Yarrowia lipolytica: one gene and its partner. The protein of the gene in region 1 interacts with the protein of each later gene in a pairwise test. Links are inferred from orthologs where the notes say so. Each region holds a gene or a part of one and is shown on either strand. Other genes may lie near its edges.

Region 1 (3,559 bases):
TTTGGAACGGACGAGTGTTTGCACTTGAAGTTGACAGTGTTCAGGGGCCTCAGGACGAGACTCTGTTGGCGAGTATCGACCATACCTCGCTCGACAAGTTTTTGCATGTCACCATTGGTACGGCGGAGGAGGCCATTCGTCCTATGGAAAGTGGTCCTATGGTTCAGAAGTGGGTGGAAGGAGAGCGAGAGGGTATGGAGGCCGTCGACTTGGATGTCACGCTGCATGGACATCTCAGTGCCTTCGTTTAGATAGCTAGGAAATGCATTTATTACATGGATTTATTGGATGTACGAATGTACAGTATGTACAATTACGGGAATAGTCGAATGGATCCGACGCTCAATTAGATAACTGGATTTGTCTGGTGAGCTCAATAGCTCATTCTTGGTACAGTTCATATTTAAACATTCATTACTAACTTCAGTGCGACGCACTCATGAAGCTGCTATATACACAACTGGTACTATCTTGAAACCAGTGGCGCAAGTGACTCGCTTTTCACTTACTCAATCTTGCCCTTGTGGACCACAAAAGCCTCGAGAACAGCAATGGCAGCGTACAATCTGTTCTCAGCCTCGGGGAAAACCAGAGATCGGTCCGAGTAGAAGACCTGATCGGAAACCTCCTCGGGGTGTCGGGGAAGGCAATGCATGAACTTCCAGGTGGGCTTGGCGAGCTTTCCAAGCTCCTCAGTGACCTGGTAGCCAGCAAACTGTTGCATCTTGAGCTGCTTTTCGCTCTCCTGGCCCATGGAGATCCAGGTGTCGGTGACAATGACATCGGAGTCCTTTACTGCCTCCTTGGGGTCGGTAGTGGTGGTGAAGGTGGCTCCGGACTCCTTGGCGGCATCATTGCAGATCTGGATAATGTCTTCGGAAACGGGGTACTCTTTGGGGGTGGCGGCGGTGACGGAAATGCCGGACTTGAGAGCGGCAATTGCCAGGTCGTGCAGCACGTTGTTTGCGTCTCCAACCCAGGCGAGCTTGAGGTTCTTGGCGTCTCCAAAGGTCTCCTTGATGGTGATCATGTCGGTGATGGCCTGCAGGGGGTGGTACTTTTCGCAGAGGGCGTTGATGACGGGCACGGAGGAGGCTGCCGACAGATCGAGAATCTCCTGGTGGGCTCCCACTCGGGCAACGATACACGAGGTCATGGAAGACACGACTCGGGCGGTGTCATAAGTGGACTCGTTGACGCCCAGCTGGATGTCGTCCTTACCCAGAAACATGGGCTGGCCTCCCAGAAACGCCACGGCTCCCTCGGTGGACACTCGGGTTCGGGTCGATCGTTTCGAGAAGATGAGAGGCACCGTCTTGCCCTTGAGCAGATCGGACAGCTTATCGGTCTCGGTCTTGTTCTCCTGCTTGATCCACTTCTTGAGAACCAGACCTCGGTCGACCAGCTTAGTCAGCTCTTTGGGGGACAGGTCGCCGATGGAGATGAGGTGTCGGGGGGTCATTTTGGTCAGCGTCGAGAACGGTCGAATCATTTCGGTCTTCTTTTTTGTGCGCAAACGACTTTACTTATCTTGGTCGCCAAGGACAGAAGAGCTAAAGGTGGTTTGACTTCCTGCACACTGACGAGGTGAGTCAGTCATCATCGTACATCGTGGTCTTCAAAAAAGTTGTAGACCTTACTTGGTTGCTTGTCTAACCATGAGTCACTCGAAGAAACGGCCAAACCAAAACCGAAAAAAGACAATCTGAAGCAAAATAAATGCAAATATCTCCACCCTACACACCCCATTGACTCATTTATGGGACCCTAACTTTGCGGCTAACTCGGAAGCCAGGGTTAGGGACAAGCAGGGCAAGTGAAGGAACCAACATCTCGGAGTAGGGACAAGTACAATCGAGTACAGTACAATCGAGTACGTACAAATACAATCATCTAGACACAGTAGCACTCCATTCAGATTGTCAAATTCACCGCTCTATTTCGACCCAACTACCCCCAAAAATCTGCCCTTGATCTGCGGCGAAATTTCACCTATACCCCCGGATTTTTCAAAACAAACTTCTCCGTGCAGACGTACTTGTTCATGGATGAGTAATAAAACCTACCGACAAAAAGAAATCTCGAAACAACAGGTACATATCCGCGATTTCTATGTTCCTTTTTAGTCACGGGAAGAAAAAATGAGTGATTTCGTAAGCCTCAATATAGCCCATCAACCACAGTACAAGCACACGATACGTTCTGCTCCAACCCCCTCTTGCTCCAAGTACTGTAGGTTCGTGGGGTTAAACTATACATTAGCCTCGGTAAAGTCGACCAAACAGAACAGTCATGGAAAGAGATGACCAAACGTGAAGTTACAAGTCGTCGTATTGACACGGGCTTTGGTTTTCTTCGTAAAATGGGGAGGAGGGGTCACGTGACGGGACTTTTTTGGCGGCATTTTGAAAAAAAGAAAGACAGATGTTGCTTGTGCTCGTGCTCGTGCTCGTGCTCGTGCTCGTGCTCGTACAGTATGTACTCACGGGCCGTCCACGTGATTTTGCTGAACCTGATCCATACATCATGTTCGCGACGAGAAGTAGTGCACGTGACCCGATCTGGCTCTCACGTGACTTGCCACCCATAACCGGCCGGATCGACACCTTCCGACGGTCCGAACATCCGCTGAAGCAGCATGTGTACTGCAGGGGACGGCGGTAGGAGGACCTTTTTTTTGGTTTTTGGGCAAGGTCACGTGATCGTCATCTGGGAGAGAAAATTTACGCGCGTGACTAACAAGTACTGTAGCTTGTTAACGGGTCTGGTCATCATGTCACTTTCACTTGTGGCTGGGTTTTTGACGTTGTCAGGGTCCAGTCTTGAGTGACTTTTTGGAAGTCCTTTGATGGAGAATATTTCGCTTCAATCGGGCTAAACCGTCATAAAGCCTCTGTCGAATGAACCAAACGACCCTTGTGCGAAAAACTCTGCTGCACATTCCTCCTCTGGCGGGCATGTCCGACTATTGATGGTTTCATTTTGGAGCTACTGTGTGTGACTGACAGGCGCGCACAGAGCGGACTTGGACCAGAGTCCATTTCCGGGACTGCCCGGGAGCTGATTGGCTGTCAAGACCAACTTGCCTGGAGGCCGTTTCTTGGCGTGAAGAGCCTTAGGGGGACGAGAGGTGTAGCCGCGGAGCTAGCCGCAAACAAGGAGTTGCCATTGCTGATGGCAGGCTACCTACAGTTGTAGTTGAGAGCTGGTTAGTACTGTCCGAAACGCGAATGACGTGTGACGTTTGAAGCGATATGTTGGTGGTCCTGTCCGGATCACTGATGTTCTACCTCAGGTCACTGTTCACGAACCAGAGAGTAGAATATCTCTTAAAAATCTCTTGTTTTTTGGACAACCTGAAACCACCTTCTTGAAAATTATACAACTAGTTCAGCTAACCGCGGCTAAGCGCGTTCAACTTGTACTACCACCAACTAGTACGGGCGGTAGTTGTTGTAGCTCGCGCCCAGAGCTGATAATATTGGAAAAGTACATTACTTTGTAGCGTTACATATGGAAGAATTCAAATCGGATCTATTAAATACTCAAATTGGAGGCT
Region 2 (3,551 bases), on another chromosome or scaffold:
CTCTCAACGCTCCTCGAGGCGACGACGACTTCTTTTCCATTGATCTGCCCGATTCAGACCTCGAAAAGTCTTTTGGACAGATCAAGGTGCCCCTGCTGTTCCTCATGAGCGGAAGCGACGCATTTGTGGACCCCAAGCAGGACAAGCAGAAGATTGTTGACCGATACGAGAGCTTTGTCAAGGGCGGAAACTGGTCCGAGCTGTCTGGTGTCATTGACGGAGCTTCTCATAATGTTGGACGGGATAGCAAGGAGGGAGCTGTTGATGCTGTAGTGGAAAAGATTGAGAGTTTCGTGAAATCAATCTAGGGATCTCCAGGCCGTACTGACCCTACACAGACATCTGTATGTACTAGTATTTCCCTCACCTATAGCGAGCTGTCTTTCTAACATCATCTAACGTCATCACAATACATTCTACAGTATCTCAAATACCGTCCAAAATAAGAAAATCAAATCTATATATATTACAGCTAAATACTCCCCATCCGTATCCAGTGAGTCTATGTCTTCTGCCCTTCATTCTAACCCGTCTTACAGAAGAGTATCTCCGCAAGCACTCTTGGCGAGGGAAATGCCAGCGCTGATGGTGTCGTCAATATCCTTCTGAGAAGCACCAAGAGCGGGGTTGCACTCGACGAGGTCCATGGCGACGAGCTTTCCGGTGGCAGCAAGCTCCTCGCAGATGTAGCAGGCCTCTCGCCAGGTGAGACCTCCTCGAACAGGAGTTCCAGTGGAGGGAGCAAAGAAGGGGTCCATGGCGTCAACGTCGAAGGAGAGGTGAATGGGTTTGCTGAGATCGGGGTTGACCTTCTGCAGAGCCATCTCGACCACCTTTCCAATGCCGTACTTGTCCACATGGTGCATGGAGTAGGCGGTGATGCCATGTTCCTTGATCATCTTCTTCTCAAAGTCGTCCACGTCTCGCAGCGCAATGTAGGCGAGGTTCTTGAAGTCGAGACACTCGGGGACCCATCCGAAGGGATCGTCCTTCTCGGGCTTGGCGAGCCCGGTGACCCACGACAGAGGACAGCCGTGCAGGTTGCCAGAGTCGGTAGCGGCGGGAGTGTTAAGATCGCAATGAGCATCGACCCAGATGAGGCAGGCGTCGGGGTACTTCTCTCGCACACCGGCAACAGTGCCAACAGCGATGGAGTGGTCACCCCCGATGGTGAGCACAAACCGTCCAGAGACAGCAGCCTCAGAAACAGCCTTGTAGACCCGTCGAGAGGCCTCAGCGACGTAACGGGGTCGCTTCATCTTGCCAATGTCCTCGTCAGACTCGGGCACGGGGAACTCAAGGTGTCCGTCGAATTTGGTGTCCCAGTCGAGGCTCTGGAGGTGCTTCTCGAGACCTCCTCCGAGCAGGTACTCGGGGCCCTTGTCGACACCGCCCTTGGGCTGGCCTCCGGAGAAGGGGGCAGAGACAATGCTGAGCTTTCGTTCGGGGAAGTATTCAAAGTTCATTGTGTTGTGTTGTGTGGTGGTGGTGTGGTGGTGGTGATGGTGGCTGTGGTGGTGATGGTGGTGGAGATCAAGGTGGATCAACGCGGAATCAGAATCAGATCTTTTGTATGAACTTACACAAAGCGTAGGTGTCAAGTCCGGGCGTGGTAGAGATGGTGGAGAAGAAGAAACACGGTGGCCAAAATCCGGCCCTTATATAAAGAAAAAAATCGCCGTTACACCCCTAAGTGCAGGAACAGGCGATGAGGTGTGCATGAGTAGACGGCGCTGCCAAAAGCACTAGAAAAGAGCCGGTTGGGGGGTCTCACCGGACGAGGAGAGAGCGGGTCACGAGACCAAAGAAAACCGCACGTGGTTCGACACGAAAAACTCCCTTTTATACGTCCGCAACGCCGCCAGAGTCTCGCACTCCCTCCTCCAACCAAAATCCCACGATAACACACTCGAACCAAATTGAGTTTTATGAAAACCGTAATGCAACATTTTAGACGCACTACAACACGATCCATGACCCTAAGTACAGGTGTGAGCGAGTGAGGCATTTGAGGGGGTCATGAGGGGTTGCCGTGCAAGTGGAGAAGGGAGGAGAGGGCTAGGGCAGATGGTGGAAGTGGCAATGATGATTATGGGTGGGTAAGGGTTATTGATCCCTGGTGCCTGTTTGAACAGTGCGCATCACCCAAGGTGCCATGTGCTCCTGTCAAAAAGGGTCTAACAGCTTCCACTGGACTCTAATAATAGCCGTTGCTTTTTGATGTTTCTGATAGCAAATGTTTGAAGAGAACTTTATCAGGAGACGTGAGTTCGATTCACCATGGAGGTGGATTTGATAGGTATATTTGCTATTCGCCAGAGATAGCTTGTGACTTTGAGATAGGGCAAGAGATGGATTTTTGTAGAGGAGTGATAAGATAAAAACTGGAATTCTCTGTAAACCTGTCAGTTCAAGAAGGATACAATCGCCCCGGGGCGCGTTGGTGCGCGTAAGAGAAGGAATGTGTGATTTGAGTATCTCCTGTCATGGTGAAATTTAAAAATATTTATAGGAAAATATCATAAAAGAAATTAAATATATGTCGATATGGGGAAGATATAAGAAGATAATTGTGAGGTGAATATCTGGGAATTATATAGATTAAGATAATTTTGATTAAAAAAAAGTCCAATGAGCTATCACTTCCATAGGCCCCAATGACTCTACTTGTCTGATCCGACTCTGACTTACATTGCCTTGATTATGAAACTCGGCCTTGACGACTCCAGTTGGCATATATATAATGAATTATATATAGCTGTTGGAGCTGACTATTCTAACGAAAGAGTTCTACTCACATTCATTCTTCTCATAATCTCTCTTAGTTGGCTCAGCTTGTGTACCATGGGGGAGGAGGGATGAGGGATGAGGTCTACACGAAGTAAGGCTAGAAGTAGTTCAGATACAAAGCATAGCTCTACTTTGGCGTAATGATTCACTCAATTATCATTTGAGATCGCACTACTACTCGATGAGCGTCTGGAACAAAAGTCGTGCGATCATAGACATTCATAGCATGGGTTTTATTACGAATAGCTCCCCCAGATGCGTTGGCACAGTCTTAGGGTACTGTACTCCGTGGGGTCATTAATTTGGAACGCGGTTGTATTTCATTAGGTGTTCCTCACTTAACAGCTTTGTTTGTACAATGTCTTCCTTCGTTGTTTCCCCAGATGCGTAAGAATGTTCCGTTTTCACTCATATACAAGAAGTGATTACTCAACTGTGAATACTTCGGACGATTATTCAGGATAAATGAACTCTCAGACTGAGTCGCTAGCTTCTAGTGGTTCTATATGTTTAGCAAATGACCTCTCTCCAAGATCTCTGGAATACAACATGCTTTTCACAAAGACAGAGAAACACTTGACTCAATTAGTTCTAAATAGACACAAGAGCTGCCAGTTTTGCCAATATCAGATCTTTGTCAGTCTAGAATGTTGTAGCTTCCTGTCCGTGCTACTTTGTAATTATTGGTTTGGAGAGGTGCTAACAGTAGTCAATCAGTAGCATGCAGCAATGACGACAACCATTTACGACGGATACTAATG

Evidence for each region. The genes of interacting proteins can lie anywhere in the genome.
Region 2: the proteins of YALI1_D18130g (region 1) and YALI1_E08937g interact in binary tests that used the Saccharomyces cerevisiae proteins (3 or more experiments, as listed by UniProt). The link is inferred for Yarrowia lipolytica from reciprocal best matches to the Saccharomyces cerevisiae genes ARG3 and CAR1.

Annotation. Positions count from the first base shown.
Region 1 is NC_090773.1:1,810,963-1,814,521, reverse strand, and holds YALI1_D18130g (uncharacterized protein), read right to left. Parts: upstream 1,493-3,559; coding exon 506-1,492; downstream 1-505. Other genes in the region: YALI1_D18167g (uncharacterized protein), read left to right, coding at 1-251; YALI1_D18115g (uncharacterized protein), read left to right, coding at 2,901-2,959, 3,009-3,198.
Region 2 is NC_090774.1:892,216-895,766, forward strand, and holds YALI1_E08937g (uncharacterized protein), read right to left. Parts: upstream 1,467-3,551; coding exon 534-1,466; downstream 1-533. Other genes in the region: YALI1_E08915g (uncharacterized protein), read left to right, coding at 1-308.